Linked DNA regions of Cricetulus griseus. The protein of the gene in region 3 interacts with the protein of the main gene of each other region in a pairwise test. Links are inferred from orthologs where the notes say so. Each region holds a gene or a part of one and is shown on either strand. Other genes may lie near its edges.

Region 1 (5,157 bases), on a different chromosome or scaffold from region 3:
CTGGACCTAGTATCGAACACCTTTGATCTCAGTACTCAAGAGACAGAAGAAAAACTTCTATGCGTTCAAGGCCAGCCTGCTCTATTTAAAAAGTTCCAGAACATCCAGAGCTACCTAGAGAGAGCCTTCTCAAAAACAAAACAAAATACACCCCCCAAAAAAAAAAGCCAAAAGGATATGTCCACACATGATGCTGCAAGCCTGAAAGTGTGTGAAGGAGTGAAAGCCAGCAACAGTCAGGAAGCTGAAAGCTAGATGCCAACCAGAGCAAGTTGTGCCATGCCTCTGAACTCCAGAAAGGCTCCTGAGTTAGGGTTTCTAGCTGCTTCAGAACGCAAGAGGAATGGGAAAACAGGAAGATGTATTGGAGGTAGTGCATTTACAGGGCATTTAGAGCAGTGGTTCTCCACCTTCCTAATGCCCAGATCCTTTAATACAGTTCCTCATGCTGTGATGACCCCAAACCATAAAACTATTTCCCTTACTACTTCATGACTCTAATTTTGCTGTGATTAATCATAATATAAATGTTTGTATGTTCTGATGGCCTTAGGCGACCCCTGCAAAAGGGTCATGACCCACAGGTTGAGAACCACCAATTTAGATACAGACTTCACAGTCTAGGTAGCAGGCAAACCAAAGCATTTGCCTCACCCCTGCCCAACAGCAGAAGGTGAGAAGACCCAGAAGAAGTTAGATTACTTCACCACAAAAAAGGAGGTTCAGGGAGAAAGGACACCTCCAAGGCCATGATGTCTCAGCCCCTGCCTTGGGTGACCCCGCAAAATGCTGGCAACCTCTCTTACACCCTCCATGCAGGTGGCCAGAGAATCTTTTTTTTTTTTTTTTTTTTTTTTTTTTTTTTAAGAAGAAAGGATTTACTTGGGCCTCACAGTTGGAGGGTACAGTCCATGCTGGCGAGGAAGGGATGGCGGCAGCAGCATGAGGCAGCTGAAGGGAATTCTTCAGTGGGTCTCCTGACCACACAGCCTCATCCAGATATGAGCACACTACACACAGGCCAGGCCCAATAGCTGGAAAGTACACACACACACACACACACACACACACACACACGATTACTAAATAAAGAAAAACCTGAGGCAACTATCAATTCCAGGAGCAAAAAGTAAAACAAAAAAGGAACATTATCACCATTATCTGTGTTGTAACTAAAAAAAAAAAAAAAAAAAAAGGCAGCCCAAGAGAGAAAGATGAGATGCCACAGAGTTCAATGGAGGGAAAGGGACCATTAAAGGGAAAGGGGTGGGGAAACCAGCCTCTGGGGAGCAAGCAAAGAGAAGCAGAAAGGGAGAGAGAGAAAGAGAGGAGGATGGGAGATAGACAGGGTCCTTTTTAAGGGAACATAGTGAATATGCACAGGTGGTGCTCTTAGTAGCTGCAGCTGAGGGTGTGTCTGGTCAGGACCCCAAGGGCAGGCCAGTACGGATTCCTGAATACTAACAATCACCATCCTCACAGTTGAGAGTACAGCAGCAACGTAAACAAATTATCTTATTGGGAGGATGGAAACAATAATATGGGTAGCTGATAAATGACTTCTGTACCCTTGCCTTTTATTAACAGAAAACTAAAAAATAGCCACATAGGCCAGATGTGGTAGCACATGCCTTTAATCCCAGCACAGAGACAGAGGAATATCCGTGAGTTTGAGATCAGCCTGGTCTACATAGCAAGTTCCAGACCATCCAGGACTATGCAGTGAAGCTGTGTCTAAGAAAGGAAGGAGGGAAGGAAGGAAGGAAGGAAGGAAAGAAGGAAGGAAGGAAGGAAGGAAGGAAGGAAGGAAGGAAGGAGCAGAAAAGGAAAGGAGAGAAGGAGGGAAGTTACAGGACAGTAAATAGAATTCAACATTAAAAATTGTACTGAAAGTATGTCAATTGGGTGTGATGGCTCATGCCTATACTCCTAGCTCTGGTGTGTGTAGCCAGGAAAACAGGAGTTCAAGGTCATCCTCAGCTATACAGTGAGTTCCAGCTGGCCTATGCTACATAAAAATCTGTCTCTGAAACAAAATGTGTATGTTGAAGCCAGGTGAGAGTGCTGAAAGTGGGTGCGGCGGTGCACACCTAGAAACCTTGCACTCAGAAGTCAGAGGCGGGAAAATCGAGACAGATTCAAGGCCAACCTGTTCTGCATAGAAAATTCTAGATCAAACAAGACTTTATAGACTTGAGACCCTGAATCAAATGGGGGCTGGGGACCTGGAGATGGCTAAATGGTTAAGAGCACTTGCTGATCTTGCAGAGAACTGGCTTTGGTTCCCAGAATCCACATGGAGGATCGATCACACTGTCTTTTAACTCCAGTTACAGGGTGTCTGGCTTCTAAGGGCACCCACAGTTGTGTGCACATACCCACGCACAGACATACACATAAAAATAGATAAATTTTAAGTTTATATGTCAAAGTGCTCATATTTAGGTGTTTACTTATGCAAAGATTTTCAGTGTACTGAACTGTACTGTTTTGATATTTACCAAGTAAAACATTATCATGAAAAAGTATGTCTAGTTTTCTTTAGAAAATGAAATAAAGATAGCCCCAAGCCTTGAAAAATACAACCTTACAATCTAGGAAACATTTTCACAACCATTTTTCTATAAGCTCTACACAAATCTAAACAAAATAAAGATACTTTGCCATCTGTAGACAAGAAAACAGATTGAAAGAAGCAACTATCCCATAAGCAGTTAAGCAGTTTAGAAGTACACAATATCTCAACACAAGCCCCTCACTTGTTCAGTCCAGCATGACACCAGAGCCTCACCCTGATTGTGTCTTCATCAGCTCCAGGTAAACCTGTCTGAACCCAAAGAGCTGCCCAGCCCCTGAAGAAATGCTAGCAGGCAGCCCAGGAAACAGAAACCAAATCAAGGTAATCAGAATCCAGAAGATGGAAGATACTGTGCTTTCAGAAAAATTCACTGTAGCAAACTCCCAGTGTCACCTGCCACTAGGGACATAATGACTTTACAAACTAACTTCAGCCTTTGACCACCATATGGGCAGAAAGAATCCTCAGACTCCAGAAGCCTCCACTCTGCTCTCTCTCGGGGTAGGCCCAGGCTCCCACCCATTCGCTTCCCCTCACCCCAACTCCCCAAAGTCACATCACAAGGCACCTGGTCGCAGGTCCTCAGCTGATCTGGTTCACAGCAGCACGTGGGGGCCACCCGGGGACCAGCTGGAACAAAACAGAAGTCAACAGGAAGAATGAGACTCAATCATGCCTAACAAGAGAGACTCTGGGACAGGAAGTGGGTTTGAGCCAGGAAGGCTGGGGCCTGCTGTCAAGAAGTGAGGTAACCCTGCCAGCCTTGTTACTCAGCTAGAGTTGAGCAAGACCTCAGAGCTTGGGAAAGGGAGTAAAATGCCAGTCATAGCTTCGCAGTCAGAGCTTCAGGGCTCCCCAGCTCTACTGCATGTGTGCGAGCAGCTGGTTGTCTTCTCCCCCACTTTCTTGTCTCTGTCCCTGAATTTGGGAGGGGAGAGTCAACTGAAGGAACGGCTGTCAGTGCTTTTATCTCTATGCCAGTGCAATGCTGAGCCCGGTGAAGCACATAGTATACTATGTGAGAGCTCAAATTAGGTAGGGCTGGGTGTGGCTCAATGGTAGACCACTTGCCTAACCTGTGTAGGGCCCTGGGTTCTGTGCTCACTACTGAAAATCAAAGCAAACCACAGAGAGAGGAGAGGAGAGGAGACAATCTTTAAAGTCAGGTAGCTTAGACTTTGCATTGCTAAGTCTCATGTTCCTCCCTCCCTCCCATGAATTGCAGGTAATACCAGTACCGACGCCTGGTGTTGTGACTTAAATGGGATAATGTGTATAACTGGCACCATATAAGTCCCAAGATCCAGTGAGTCCCTTGGGCTGTCAGTATTGTCCCTTCTCTGCCTTTCCAAGGCTGGTCCATTCTCTAAGCTTTTATCGGATCACGTGGGCCCATCCACGTCACTTGACTCCACAGTGACTCCGTGCCAATTAGTCTTACGAAATAGAACAGGAACCACTGATAAGAGTGGGCTCTGATAACATAGTCAAGTTACTGGCTGGTTATGTTTAGCCTATAAATGTCCATCTAATGAAAAACAAACAATGCCCTATCAGCAGTTAAGGACACAAAACAAGCCGCTTCACTGAAAAGTCCTTTCCCATGAGGGTGTCTTACTTCCCAAAGTTACCCAAGGAAAGCAGGAGCTGTGCATATTCGCCTCTCTGTGCCTAGGAGGAGCCAGCAAGTACCGGAAGTCAGTCTATACAAATCCGTGGATCGTGTCCATCCGATGGAAACATTGCCCCTGTTTAAAGCTGTTTTTGGTCAACCCAGCCCAGGCCTACTGCATGAGAACCGGCCCCAATATAACATGGTTCCACAGACAGGTAGTCAGACTCTAGAATTACACAGAGAGCAATTTATTGTAGGACTTGCTAAGGGAAGTGTAGTCTTGAGTGGCAGTAAAACAGATGATAGCCCACAACCTGGGTCAGAGAGAGGAGTGCACTTATGGGTTGGGACAAAAGTGACTTCACCATGGCTGGACTGTACCCAGTTTATCTTAATATCAAAGAGTCGGATGCATTCCTGGGGTCAGGGTCTGGTTGTACAAAGCCCCATATTTGACTCTAATTATTTTTATCTATTTGTGGTTTGTTGGGAGACTATACAGGAAAAACCAGCTGGGATTACTCAGGGGCAATCGTGGTGGCTATGACTCAAGATGGCTGTGGTCACGTCAAACCAGACCCATACAAAAGCACATAGACAAGATACCTGAGCTGAGGAATCCATCCTAGTGGGGCTAGGGTTTTGTAGGTTAGGGCAAAGCTTTACATGAAGGCAAGGCCAAAGCCACTCTGGTATACCTTAAAAGCTGTTCTCACGATCCTCCAAAAGCTCTGAAAGGAGTGAAAAAGGTGTGTCCTATCCGGGTTTTTGTGGTGGCACACACCTTTAATTCCAGAACTTGGGAGACAGAGGCAGGTGGATCTGAGGATCTGATTTTGAGGCCAGTCTGGTCTACAGAGCAAGTTCCATGACAGCCAGAGCTACACAGAGAATCTGTGCCATAAGAAGGAGAAGGAGGAAGAAAGAGGAGGAAGAGAAGGAAGAGAAGGAAGAGAAGGAGGAG
Region 2 (5,161 bases), on a different chromosome or scaffold from region 3:
TTTTTCACCTGCAGGGCCCGTGTGATGCAGCCCTCGCAGAATGAGTGCCGGCACTTCTCCAATGTCTTGGCATTCTGGATCTCCCCCAGGCAGATGGGGCAGGTGCTTTCCTGTTCTTCAGCCTCCTCCCTCAGACGAGGAGGAAGTGGAGGGGGCAGGGGGGGAGGAGGAGGGGGGAGCCCTCTTGCCCCTGGAGGCAGGAGTGGGGCTGCTCGAAGAGGAGGCGGACCTGGGCGGTGCAGCTCAGGGTGCTCCCCACCACCCCCCAGAGCCAGGCAGCCCATGAGCTCCCCCTGCCTCTGAGCTTTCTTCAGCTCCTTCTCAGCCTCTTTCAGTAACCCCTTGAGAGCCTTGCGGGCCAGGTAGAGCCCATTGGGAGGGGCTGGGGGAGGACCCTGTGGGGAGAGCTGGAGCACGTAGATGTCAGAAGTCTCCCCATCTATGAGGATGGACACTCGGTGCTCCTCCCGAAGCCGGGCCAGCCGGGCTGGGGTCTCCTTGCTCAGGAAGTCCCACACAGGCTTGGAGACAGTCACTTTGTTCTTGCAGGTGCCTCCACAGGCTGCCATTCTGGACAGGACGAACGACACTGCCCCCAGGGTGAAAGGGACTCAGCGTGGGGAGTGTCCCCATTTGACACATATAAGTGCTTCCTACTCCAGGTTCCCTCCAAACCTCACATCACCTCCTGTGTTCCTCAAAGCCAACCCCCAATACCTCCTGCAAACTGTTTTTCTATCACCCCTTCTCTCCCATAGTCCCAGCACTTGCTGGGGAACAAGAGTTTCTATATTTTATCATTATCTAAACCAAGCACCAACCTTACTTGTTTCTTTCATTTCTCCCCTGACCACCAGCAACCTGCCCCTTCCCCTCATAGAAAAGAAAAATAGGCTTTTCAAATGAGAAGGGAGACTTCCCTCCCCTACTTTTTGCTCACTTTGATCCGGAAGAGCTTAGGATTGGCATGCAGGCTCACTCCTTTTCCCTGCTACTTGGAGACCGTTGGCCTAGTGGGATGAGAAAGAAAAGGAAGTAAGAATAGGTTCTCCAATCCCCACAGGCCCCAACTCAGTAGCCTTTGAAACAGACAGGAACCTGGAGTAGTGTCCTGGGCATGGGAAGAACATGAACTGAGCGTCCCCTGGGGGTGCAGGTACCTGAAAAGACCATGGGAGATGGTGCAAGTCTCTCTACTTCCACATTGAGCTGACCAGAGCTGGGGATGAAGAAGGTAGAGAGTTATGATAGCACTTCCTCAGTCAGCCCAGAAACAAAACACTTATATCGCCTCTCCTCCCCTGCAGAATTCCAGGCACAGCCTCTCAAATTGCTCAGGAACTTCACCAGACCAGCTCCCCACCACCACCAACCCCAGTGCAGAGGAAGAGAGATCCTAGGTTCAGACAAAGGCCCTGGGGATGAAGCCTGCACTTGCCATCTCCCTCAGATTGACTACACTGACAGAAATATTTCCTATGTTCCTCAACTCATTTCTTTACTCCACATTCTCAAATAAGTCAAGTCCCTGTTGTTGACGGGGGACCTTTCCCTGAGAGCGAAGTCTGTTAGGGATGCCAGCAAAGTGATAGCAGTCCCTGCAATAACAAAGTTCTCATTGTCACCTTTAAACCCATTGCCTGCAGAGCTGTTGTCAGCTCTTGGATCTGCATTTAGGAGGGGCAGGGCTCAAGCAGGAGCTCAGCTAGAGGGCCCCCACGTTTTCCCCCCTGAGTCCTGTCACATTCAGCTCCGGGGCTGTTCCCGGAGTGCGGCTCAATTAGGAAGAGGGGGCCATTAACAGTGACCTCAATTCCTTGACTCATCCAAAGAAGAAGCCGCTGTCCCTCAGTGCCTTCATCCTAGGGCCCTTAAGATGAAACTCTAGAGTCCCAGCCCACATGGCCCGTGCACCGTAGCATGCCCCCACCCCGGCACAGAGGACCCAGGATCTCGGTGTCCTAGCTCCAAGCCCTGCTGGCACAGCACAAGGAGGCGGGGCCACAGTTTAGTCTGGTCTAGCATTCCTCTGAGGCAAACCAGGCCGGACAGGAGCCCAGTGACTCCCTCCGGGCAGCGGCCCCAGGCAGGGACACCGAGAAAGGGCGAGGGTCCCCTGGGGGGTGTCCACCGAGGCACCCCCACCCTTCTCCTCCCCCAGACCTGGCCCCCAGATCCATCCAACCCGAAGCCAACTCCCGCATCCCTACTCGAGGAAGCCCCGGAGTCCCGCCGCTGGGTGAGGGCGTGTGTCCGCCCGACTGCGGCCCTCAGAACCCCCAAATGGAGGCCGAGGGCTGGAGGTGCCGGCAGGATGATGCTGGGCCCGGCCCCGATGGTGCCGGCTCGCAGCGCCGCCGGGAGAGCGAGCGCCGGAGGTCAAAGGCGGAGGAGGGGACGGAGGGGCTCGGGGGGCTCGCGAGGGTGCCGATCGGGCCTGGGGGGCACGCGGTGGGTGTGGGGGCGCCGGGCTCACCTACCTCTCGTCAGCGCCGCCATTGCCGGTCACATGACTGAGGCTGTTGCTGGGATGACGGTCCGGGCCTTAGCAACAAGGGGCGGGGGAAGACCCCGGGAAGGTGGCAGGGGAAGCCGGGGCGCCGATGAAGAGGAAGGAGGGAGGACAGCACCCCTCTCCCCTGGGCGGGTGATGATCACCGTTTCCCTTGGTCCCCTCCTCCTGCTACCCGGGAGCCCCTGCCTCTCTGCCCCAAAACAAAAATGGAGGCGCAGATCCAGGCTTTGGAGGGAGGGGTGGCGTCATGTAACCGAGGGTAGGAGGTGAAATCCCTTAGAAACGCCGCTCTTTTGGCTTCCCTCCTCCCGGAGGAGCCCTCTCCCCTTCTTCTTCCCCAGCCAGCTGCGTGGCACCTTTGGGAGCCGGTAGTGGATGGGTGCGTGAGCAGTGCGGTGGGTGTATGGATTTGGAGGGGAAGGCAGTCTTTTTTTAAAATCTTAGGCTGTAAGAGCTTTAAAAGAAAAAAAAAATGTTGTATGGGAAGAGTTCTGGAAAAAAAAAAAAAGGAAAACACTGGTACTACACAATAAACCCTGTGACTAAACTACTTCCATCCCCTCCCTCCTGCTAGTGTTACCTCCGGTGACCCCCCACAGCCTGTTGCCAGATGGGGACGGGTGACTAGCTTTCCACAAACAGGGACACAGGTTGGTGCAGAATGCGAAGTGAACAGAAAAAAAAAAAAAAAAAAAAAGGCTTGGGGTGGTGTTGCTGTCAAGTACGTGGCTCAAAAGAGTTAAAAATTCCCAAAGAAAAAAAAGCTCTGCCCTGCTTCTCACCAGAACAGTCTCCGCCTCCTGCAACTCTCTTCCCCGAGGCCACATCAAGCCAGGTTTTTCCACCAGCCAAGACCTCAGCCAAGACCTCCTGAGTCTCCCAGAGCAGCCACAACCGCGTCATCCATCCCTTCCCATCCCCTCCCCCACGAACCGGAGGACTGGTCACTCCTTCGCTTTCCCAGGACCTTGTTGTACTCCTCCTGCCCTCTAAGTAGATAGCTTTCCCAGGAAGCCTGGGTGAACAGAGAATTCCTCCCCAAATAGCTGTTAGGCTGAGAGGCCCACTCAAGTTAGGAGATGTAGCCAGAGCACTGGGGAAAGAGGGGCAGCACCATCCTACCCTTCCCTGGCCACCATCACTGCTGAATTCCCACAAAGTTGAGGAATGTTTTCCACTCCCATGACCCCACCCCACAACTATAAGTCCACAGCCATCTTGGAAACTTCCCACATATTCAGGAGCCCAACAACACCTTGAAGACCAATATTCTTCATTTGGTCTCTGCATCCTGTAAACACAGGGATCCCTCAACATTTTCAGAGGGAAAAAAGTTTCTGTGAATGATTTGGACCGAATAATTTATTTTATTGTGATATTGGGAGTAAATACAGGTAAATAGAGATTTTTATTAATAAAAAATGATGGAAAACAGAAGCAATAAATGAAGATGACCGTTCTGCCCATAATACACAACCTCTTGGTTGGAGAATCCAGTTCTAAGGAACTGCTGCTGGTGCCATGGGGCTTTATTGCATCAACAGGGAAAAGGGTGACTATGGGATGGATGGAAGAGGCCCAGCAGGCAGGCCCCTCCCACCCCAGCTGGGCCTGCCTTTTGCTGCTTCCTTTGGTGTAAAGGTGAGAAGGGGGCTTCTCCCTGAGGACCTCATAGCTTTGTGCCCTTACTGCCCACCCCCCACTCCCAGGGTGTGGAGGTCTAAAGGGGAACAGAACAGCAACAATGCCCGTCTTGGTTCCAAAGGCTCTGGGCAGAGACAAGACTGTCTATCTCATGGCAGAATCTTGTTTTCCCAGATAGTCTCACGTATCCTTGGCTGGCCTCAAACTCGCTATGGAACTGAGGGTGACCTTGAATACCTGATGCCCCTTGCCTTCTTTTCCCAAGTGCTGAGATTATAGGTGTGCACCACCACATCTGGTTTGCATGGTGCTGAGATGGAACCCAGAGCTTTGTACACGCTAGGCAAGCACTCTATCCACTGAGTTATCTCCAATGCTCAAACCCATACCTTCTTTGAGTTTTCCTGAGACCATGTCTTACTCTGTAGCCCAGGCTGTTCAAGCTGGCCTTGAACTCTCACTGACTCTGCTGCAGCCTCCTTGAGGGCTGGGTTTTAGAGGCATTAGCTGCCCTGAAAGTTCCTCTACATTCTGAGAGTATCTATCACGCATTAACTCAGCTATCTTTGGAAGGGATCCGGTGAGTGAGTTATGGCTCTGACTCCTCTCTGGGGGTGGGAAGTGAAGATGACAGAGAAGGCCATCTGTCCCTGGGAGACACATTAGCAGTGAAAGATGGGACAGAAGGAACAGAATAACAAACCCAACTAGAAAAAGTGTTTGAGAAGAGGGGAGGCCCTGTGCTGCGTACCTACGTCCAGGGAATGGGGATGTTCCCACACTCAAGGTCTCTATCCTCTTGAAATTATGGAAACTGAGCCACATGGAGCTCTTCCCTTGGCTAGAAAGGGACCATGGGCTTTACTGGATAGGAAGAAAGGAAACTTCACACAGGGTATGAACCTTGCACTCCGACCTGTCCTCCCAGGCTCCACTGCTCTCCCTTCCCCCCACCCCCTCGCTAAAGGGTTCCATCCCCAGCAAAGGCGCAAGGTTCTGGGG
Region 3 (3,824 bases):
TGTCAGGATTTTGTTGTTGTTTTTGTGGTTTTTTTTTTTGAATTTTTAAAAAACTTAGGACGTGGGGCTGCCACAGGGAAGAGGGAAGGGCTGTAGCTCCTCAATGCTACATACGGGAGGGTGGACTGGCCAGTTCATAGAAGAGCAAATAGGCGTCGCTGGTGCGCACTTGGCTGGAGGACATGGGTGTGACACTGGAAAGATCAGGGAAAAGTCAGAGCCTGTCAAGGAAGGTCACTGGAGACACAGAGCTGAGTGGCTGAGGTTGGATATGTCTCAAACTTCTCTATGCCAATCTAAGCTCTGACTCGTCCTTTTTTTTTTTTTTTTGTCAAGATTTTTATTATTTTTAAATATGTGTATGTGGTATGTGTGTGGATACTTGCACTGAGTGTAGGTGCCCATGATGGCTAAGGGCAATAAACTCTTGTCCTCAGCAATAGTGGTAAGAGCTCTTAACCACTGTGCTATTTCTTCAGCTCCACCCCCAACCCTTTTTCCCTTTTTGGAGACAAGGTCTCACAGCCCAGACTGACTTCAAACTTGCTAAGTAGCTGAGGATGACCTTGAACTCCTGATCATCTTGCTTTCACCTCTCAGATGTTTGGTTACAGTTGTAAGCCACGGTGGCCACTTGGGACAAACCCAGAAAGGGCAGCATAGTCTTGTGTGTGTGATGTAGCTTTTGGCCTCGATTTTGTCCATTCAAGACGGAAGCCATATGAGGTTGCCTGCTGTCTAGGAGCCCTGTCTGAAGCCCATCTCTCACCTGGAGTCATTGAAAGTGTGCCATTCGCCCGTTACTGGACTTCGGCAGTAGGCTGTATAATGGCCTCCCATGGTGGTTCCGGAGTGATTGGACACAGCATACAGGTTGTAAACAGCATGGTCTGAGGAGGAACCACAGACAGGTGTCAAGCCCTGGAGGCATTCCTGCCCTTCCTCCATTTTATTTCCTATCTTTTCCCTTACAGAAAACAGCTTCTACTTAAAAAAGGTTGAAATTTAATTTTAGTTTGTGTGTGTGTGTGTGTGTGTAGGTCAGAAGGAAATCTTGAAGGAGTCAATATTCACTTCTCTCCTCCTGTGTGGTTTTGGGGTTCAATCTCAGATCTGTATCTCACCGGATCCTTACTTCCCAGTCTTTTCCTAATTTGCTAGCTTCCTCCCGCCTCTGCCTCTCAGCTTCAGGAAGCCTGTCCTCCTGAAGTAGACTCACTGGTGTTTTCTGAAGCAAATTCTCTCAAGTCCAGGTCTCTTAGTGGAAAATTCACAAATGTTGTGAGCTTGCTGGTTCGTATCCTGGATTCCGAGAACCGCTTCAGGTCTGTGATTGTCTCCAGTCAAGGACAAAAAGCCGGAAGAGAGTCCTTGGAGAAGCAGCTCTTCTCAGGAAGCAGGAAGACAAACACAGAAGCCTACACTGTTTTCACCCTACTCTGCTCCCCTCCCCTTTTGGTCCCTTGTCATTAGTCACCCCCAAAAGTCAGGTCCCAACCCTGGGGGGTTAAGGATACGGAGCACCAAGATCTTTGGGAACCTCTGCACAGAGAATTTCTTTATACATCGTTTCCTGGCTCGGCAGCGGTAGCATGTCTGAAAGACAGACAACAGGGGCTAGACCCAGGTGGCCCTTCCCCGTCCAGGCACTGTGGCTGGCTTCTGTCACTGAGGATACTTACTGGTTTTTCATCCCCATCCAGCACATCCTCTTTGGTGAAGAGCCTCATACAATCCATTAATGTCACCTCAGGATAACCTCTCTGGAGAGAAAAAAAAGTCCAGGTCAGCTGTCCATAACCTTGCAAAGCCCAAGAGGGAAGCTGACACGGGGCCACATCAGGGCATACCTTTGCAATGGGCAACGAGAGATCCCAGAAGGGATCGAAGACTGTAGAGCAGTAGCCACAGTCGGTGCAGGTCAGGGAGCTCTTCAGCTGGCCAACAAAGAGATCTGGGGAAGAGAAAGCCAGGGTGAGCTGCACATACGGAGTGCTTGCCTTCCTTTTCTCCCCACTCTTGCCTTGGTTTTGAGAGTCACAGGCAGAAGCAGGGTTCCCTGGGAAAATGATCTTCAGGGCTTCTCAAGCAAAAGTAGGGGACAGCAGACACAGGTATTTTCTTGTCTGTGTACTTACCCCCAATTCGACTGTCTTCCCTCTCCAGATACTTCCTCCACATCTGTCGCCCTTTTTCATCATCACTGGGAACCGCAGACAGGAAGACAGCTGCATTAGAGCTCAAACCCTGATATGCTTAGGTGCTAGCAACTAGAATATATTTATATGCAATATGGTTTTTGTGGTGCTGGGCATGGAACCCCAGGCCTTGATCATGATCCTCACACAGTCCACTGAGTTGTACCCCACAAGCCATCGTTTTCTTCAGACAGGGTTAGCCCAGGCTGGCCTCCTACCTCAGCCTTTTGAAATCTAGGATTACAGGTATATACCACCAAGCCTGGCTTCAAAATCTTCAATCCTGAGGATGTCACTTAGTGGCAGAGTGCTCTCCCATCATGTACAAGGCCCTTATGTACAATCCCCAGTAACACACACATTACTGTCACCAAAATAAAAAAGCTCGTGTTTAAAAACAACAAAGCAAATCTGATTCTCCCCTCTTTGAGAGATCACCACTCTCAAAGAAGTGGTATGCATCTCAAGTTCACAAAGGCTTCACTTCACAGCAGCATTGTCCTCTTACTTACGGGAGGTGATCAAGATTCTCAGGGCTGGGCTTGGGCCTCACAGTCACCCGGTTCACCTCATTGTGGAGCCCATCCAGGAGGAAGCGAAGGAACTCCTGAGCATCCTGCTGACTGAACCCAAAGAAAGTGAGTGAGCAGCATCTACCAACACCCTGCTTGTGCCACCCCCTCTTGGGGGAGGACATGCATTCGAGGCCCTTACTTATAGCCAACAAAGCGTGGTGCATATCTCTGAATCTGGGTCTTGAACTCAGATGGGCTCACCACATCATTGGGGGATGATGTCCATATGGTCTGGATTAGTTTTGCAAATTCTGTTGAAAGGAACAACCAGAGAGAGGGTGGAGGAAAGGTGAGATATTTGCTTTTGTAAAAAGCAATTTTATTTTAGTGTGTGTGTGTGTGTGTGTATGTGTGTGTGTGTGTGTGTGTGTGTGTGTGTATGTATGTATGTATGTATGCTTGTGAGTGCCCAAGGAGGCCAGAAGAGGGTGCTGGACCCCTGGAACTAAACTTACAGGTTGTTGTAAGTTGCCAGACATGGGTTCTGGGAATCAAATATGGTCCTCTGTAAGACCAGATGGCTCGCTCAACTACTGAGCCATCTTTCCAGTCCCAGGATTGTGTACACACACACACACACACACACACACACACACACACACACACACACACTGTACACACACACACACACACACACACACACACACACCACACACACACACACACATACACACAAAACCTTGAGCTAGGTATGGTAGTGCACACTCATGAACCCAAGTTAAGGTAGAAGGATCAGGAGTTCAAGGCCACCTTGGGCTACATGAGACTGTCTCAAAAAAAAAAAAAAAAAAAAAAAAAAGACAACTATCCAACCAACCCATGGATTAATCAAACAATGAACAAACAAGATGGAACCCTGAAACTGGAGTCAGGCATGGTGTTGTATACCTGTAATCCCAACGCTTGGGAGGCTTAAGCAAGAGAATCTAGTGCTTGGGTCCAACCAAGTTTGGATCCAGTTCTGGGTCCAGAATCTGTTGTTTGAGACACGGCCTTACTGTGTAATGAATCCCAACGAATGACAGGCAAAGAAAGAAAAATAGAGGGGTGG
Region 4 (4,716 bases), on a different chromosome or scaffold from region 3:
TAGCTGCTGCCTCCATTGTGAGGCAGCCGCGTTGGCCTCGCGAAGGGCCCCTGCCAGCCTCTGGTTGCTGTCCTGCAGCGCAAAGAACTCAGCCTCCCACTGGACCTCGCCCACGGAGCTGTGGGGAAGACACCGGGCTGGGGGCGTGCATGGTCAGCGCAGGTGGCATCTGGTGGAGAGCCTCCTGGGCTAGGATTAGGGTCAAAACAACACTAAGCTAGGGAGTGGGGACCATGCATGTGGAGCTGAGACAGGAGGGTACCCTTAAGTTCGATGCCAGTCTAGGCTACATAATGAGTTCCAGGCCAGAGTGGGCTACACAGGGAGACCCTACCTCCAGAAATTTTGGGAACCTATCCCTGCCCCTCCCAGATTGCACGTGAGAGCCATGGAATGGGTGCCAGTGATGCTGGAGGAGCAGCCTCCTCTCCAGATGAGGCAGAAACCAATTGCCTCCTCCTTTCCCAAGTCTGCAGCCCAGGTTCCTACCCCACACCCTGCCAGCTGCTGCTGCTGCAGTCCACACCCACACAAGACTTGCTCCAAAATGACCACGGCCTTCCAAAGCCCCATCCTACACCCCTTAGTCACACCCCTGACCCCAGCAACACCACGTCCTCTGCATCCTAAAGACCCGTCCTGGGGATTCCTTGGCACAATCCCTTATAAGGTGCCAGCCAAGGCCCTGCACCCAGAAACACTACTCCCACCACCCTAAAGCTCAGTCCTAGTCACAATACACCCCTCAGGCTTCTGCTGTGCCCATCAAGCAGCACCTGCCCTACCCCTCACCCTTCTGACAGCATCTTCTTCAACCGCTCCCGCTCGGTAGGTCCAGGGGCATCAGCACTCTGGCTGCGGAACAGCTTCTCCTCTCCCGGACCATTGGTGCTGACCAAGGGGCTTGGGGGAACCTGTGTATGGGAGCCAGGACTGGGTCAAGGTGAGCACTTGCCTTAGTCAAGACGCAGTAGGAGCTAAGGCTAATTGAGTTTAGGACTGGGGTCACTGGGGTATTGATTGAGATCAGGGAGTCTTAACTGACCTGTGAAGCCTAGTGTGTGTCTCCCCTCCTCACCCTCCATAGCTCCCCAGACCCCTGGATAGAGGAACCCCCCCCCCACACACACACACACACACACACGACTTGGTTTTCACTAAACCCTCAAGACCCGAACAACCTACGGAAACAGGACTCTGAACACTTGAAAGTTTTCCCCTGGGCACAGAGACTTCAAACAACCCACATAAAACTGAGGCATGGGCTGGAGAGATGGCTCAGTAGGTCACCAAGCCTGATGCCATGCTGAAAGGAGAGAGCTGACTCCCACAAATTGTCCTCAGATGTGTGCACACACACACATAAGCGCAGTAATGCCATCAGCCAGCCTTAGACACCCTGACATCAGAAGCATATCCAGCTGTCTCGTGAGTGGTAGGCATGGGGCCCAGCAGACATGGAGTACAGGAATACTTACCTGGTGGGACACAAGGGCTAGGGCAGGACTAGTGAATTCTCCACCATCTTGAGATTTCTCCCGAGCCAGCCTGGCAGCTTCCTTCACCTCCTGAAACTTCTCAGCAAACTGGGGAGTGAGACATGGGACAGTCAGAAAGCATCCCCTACCACCTGTCACACCACCCCTATCCCCCACCTGCCCTGTCACCCCGGAGCCTTGAAGGGGAGGCTGGAAAAGGTCAACCCTGTGACCATCTTGGGTGTCAAGGGTGTGTGTGTGGTGTGTGCCAGAGGTGACATTAAGGTTCTGAGCCACGCAGAAAGGGACTCCTTGTTCCTGTCAGGCTGGCTTGGAGTGCCCATCTGCCTGTCACACTTGCCAGTATCTCATGACGCAGGGAAGGGCGTCCCCAGGCAGTGAGAGTGTGGCCTCCTGCATACCTTCTCCTAAAGAGAGGTCTGACATCTAGTGCTGGTTCTGTGGTTGTAATGATGCATTTTCTTTTCATTTTGAAATAGTTTTCACAGGGGCTGGAGAGATGGCTCAGCAGGTAAGAACACTGGCTGCTCTTCCAGAGAACCTGGGTTCATTCCTAGCACCCACATGGTGGCTCCCAACTGTAACTCCAGTTGTACGGGACCCAACACCCTCACACAGACATGAATGCAGACAAAATACCAATGCACATAAAATTAAATTAATTTTCTTTGTTTCTTTTTGTTTTGTTTTTCGAGACATGGTTTCTCTGTGGCTTTGGAGGCTGTCCTGGAACTTGCTCTTGTAGACCAGGCTGGTCTCGAACTCACAGAGATCTGCCTGACCTCCCGAGTGCTGGGGTTAAAGGCGTGAGCCACCAACGCCTGGCATTAATTTTCATCTATCAGAAATAATTTGTGGCCTGGCAGTGGTGGTGCTGGCCTTTAACGCCAGCACTCAGGAGGCAGAGACAGGTGGGTCTCTGTGAGTTTGAGGCCAGCCTGGTCTACAAGAGCTAGTTCCAGGACAGCCTCCAAAGCTACACAGAGAAACCCTGTCTCAAAGAGAAAAGAAAATTAATTAATTTTAAAAAATAATGTGAGGCTAGTGACCTGGTTCAGTAAACTTGATGTCAAGCCTGGTGACCTAAGTCCAGTCCATGGGACCTGCATGGCAGGAGGGGACTGACCCCACAGACAGCCCTTTGACTTCCATAACATACCTGCACCCACACACAACACAGAAATAATAAACAAAGGTAATAAAAACTTTTAAAAGAAAACTTTTTAAAATTTATTTTTATTGCTTTTAATTGTATGTACATACATGTAAGTGCCCTCAGAAACTAGAGGCCTCAAATCCCCCTCTTGGAGTTACAGAAGGTTGTGAGCCCACGTGGGTGCTGAACTAACTCAGTCCTGTGCAAGAGCAGCCAGTGCTTTTTTTTTTTTTAGGGAATTTCTTGTTTAGATTTATTTATTTATTTATTTATTTATTTATTTATTTATTATATGTACAGTGTTCGGCACCAAATCTCATTACAGATGGTTGTGAGCCACCATGTGGTTGCTGGGAATTGAACTCAGGATCTTTGGAAGAGCAGGCAGTGTTCTTAACCCCTGAGCCATCTCTCCAGCCCAACAGCCAATGCTCTTAACCTGAGGCCTCTCTCACCCTGAGATGCACTCCTGCTGCCTAAGGTTAGGAATTCAAGATTAGCCTTAGCTATAATGTAAATTTGAGACCAGCTTTGTCTATAAAGCAAGTTCCAGATCAGCTAGGGCTACATACATATAGTGAGGCGACCCCCCCCCACTACCAATGAAATAGAAAAATAAAGGAAGAAAATCATTCAAAAGTCGGACATTGGTGGCTCACACCTTTAATTTCAGCACTCTGGAGTGTGTGTGTGTGTGGGGGGGGGGCGGACAGGTGAATCTCTTTGAGTTCGAGGCCAGCCTGGTCTACAAAGCTACACAGAGAAACCCTGTCTCAAACTCCCCCCACCTCCCCTGCAACAAAAGATGAAAGACTTAGTCTCAAAAAAGTGATGGGGGTGGGATCTGGATCAAGGGCCCATGGGTTAAGAGCACTGGTTGCTCTTGCAGGGAACCCAGGTTCTGTCCCCAACACCCACACGGTGACTCACAGCCATCTGGAACTCGAGTTCCCAGGGACCCAGCGCCCTACACTGGTCTCTGCAGGCATGGTGTCAGCACATACAATGCACATAGATACATACAAGCAAACCACTTATACACATAAGATACATACAAGCAAACCACGTATACACATAAAATAAAAATATTAAACAAACAGAAAATCAAAAGCTGGGCGTGGTGGCTCATGCTTTTAGTGCCAGCACTGGGAGGCAGACAGATCTCTGAGTTCAAGGGCAGCCTGGCCTACAGAGAGAGTTCCAGAAAAGGTAGGAATACACAGAGAAATCCTATCTCAAAAAAAAAAAAAAAAAATTTAGGGGTTGCAATATGGCTCAATGACCTGGTAGTGTAGATGCACACCTTTAATCCCAGGACTTGTGAGGAAGAAGTAGGCAGATCTCAATGAGTTCAAGGCCAGCCTGGTTCCAGAATGATTTTCAGGACAGCCTTGGCTCTCCTGTGTCAAAATACCCCAAACCAAAACAAACAAAACCAAAACCAATACGTTTCGATGAAAGCAAAGGTGTTCGCTGCCCAGGCCTGATGATGATTCCCAGAACCCACATGGTAGACAAGAAGAGAACTGATCCCTGAGAATGCTCTGCCTTGTGCAGGTGTGCCCACACACATTCACACCCAAAGCAACTAAAAAGTAATACGTTTTTATTGAAAAAATTAAGGAGAGATGGCCCAGCAATTACAAGTGCTCCCCAGCACCTATCTCCGGGCGTTCAGTCCCCAGCACCTATCTCCGGGTCCTCAGTCGGTAGCTTAAGCTCCAGGGACATAGTGCCACCCTCTTACCTCTGCAGACATCAGCACACTCATGTCACATGCATACACAAATATACACAAACACAAACAAAAATAAATCTGAAAACTAGTGGACAGAAGCTGGAGAGAGAGGTGCCCCTGGAGCAGGAGGATGTGCTCAGTCCAGGGTTCCATTTGATGCCCCTAAGAGGCACAAGGAGTGTGCAAAGTTGGAGCAAGGTGGCAAATGACCACTACCCAGGGCACGCAAGGGGTCTCGCTATCTGTGAACCTACCCCAAGGAACACAGATGCCAATCACCGCCCATGTCCCCGCCCACCTGGGTCAGCTGCTGTTCAGAGGCA

What was found.
Region 1: the proteins of Usp2 (region 3) and Ndel1 interact in binary tests that used the Homo sapiens proteins (3 or more experiments, as listed by UniProt). The two-hybrid records come from large-scale screens. The link is inferred for Cricetulus griseus from reciprocal best matches to the Homo sapiens genes USP2 and NDEL1.
Region 2: the proteins of Usp2 (region 3) and Dtx3 interact in binary tests that used the Homo sapiens proteins (3 or more experiments, as listed by UniProt). The link is inferred for Cricetulus griseus from reciprocal best matches to the Homo sapiens genes USP2 and DTX3.
Region 4: the proteins of Usp2 (region 3) and Homer3 interact in binary tests that used the Homo sapiens proteins (3 or more experiments, as listed by UniProt). The two-hybrid records come from large-scale screens. The link is inferred for Cricetulus griseus from reciprocal best matches to the Homo sapiens genes USP2 and HOMER3.

What each region holds. Positions count from the first base shown.
Region 1 is NC_048600.1:82,758,531-82,763,687, forward strand, and holds the start of Ndel1 (nuclear distribution protein nudE-like 1), read right to left. Parts: upstream 3,278-5,157; 5' UTR 3,147-3,277; intron 1-3,146. UniProt on the Homo sapiens protein: Required for organization of the cellular microtubule array and microtubule anchoring at the centrosome. May regulate microtubule organization at least in part by targeting the microtubule severing protein KATNA1 to the centrosome.
Region 2 is NW_023276806.1:130,519,112-130,524,272, reverse strand, and holds the start of Dtx3 (probable E3 ubiquitin-protein ligase DTX3), read right to left. Parts: upstream 3,196-5,161; 5' UTR 3,096-3,195; exon of another isoform or gene 3,075-3,095; intron 2,970-3,074; 5' UTR 2,481-2,969; intron 1,220-2,480; 5' UTR 1,161-1,219; exon of another isoform or gene 1,099-1,160; intron 1,011-1,098; 5' UTR 942-1,010; coding exon 941-941; exon of another isoform or gene 931-940; coding exon of another isoform or gene 930-930; intron 590-929; coding exon 1-589. UniProt on the Homo sapiens protein: Regulator of Notch signaling, a signaling pathway involved in cell-cell communications that regulates a broad spectrum of cell-fate determinations.
Region 3 is NC_048597.1:155,789,504-155,793,327, reverse strand, and holds part of Usp2 (ubiquitin carboxyl-terminal hydrolase 2), read right to left. Parts: intron 3,025-3,824; coding exon 2,913-3,024; intron 2,822-2,912; coding exon 2,711-2,821; intron 2,204-2,710; coding exon 2,139-2,203; intron 1,955-2,138; coding exon 1,851-1,954; intron 1,764-1,850; coding exon 1,683-1,763; intron 1,597-1,682; coding exon 1,518-1,596; intron 1,328-1,517; coding exon 1,220-1,327; intron 891-1,219; coding exon 770-890; intron 195-769; coding exon 107-194; 3' UTR 1-106. UniProt on the Homo sapiens protein: Hydrolase that deubiquitinates polyubiquitinated target proteins such as MDM2, MDM4 and CCND1. Isoform 1 and isoform 4 possess both ubiquitin-specific peptidase and isopeptidase activities.
Region 4 is NW_023276806.1:248,679,992-248,684,707, forward strand, and holds part of Homer3 (homer protein homolog 3), read right to left. Parts: coding exon 4,692-4,716; intron 1,587-4,691; coding exon 1,479-1,586; intron 915-1,478; coding exon 793-914; intron 119-792; coding exon 1-118. UniProt on the Homo sapiens protein: Postsynaptic density scaffolding protein. Binds and cross-links cytoplasmic regions of GRM1, GRM5, ITPR1, DNM3, RYR1, RYR2, SHANK1 and SHANK3.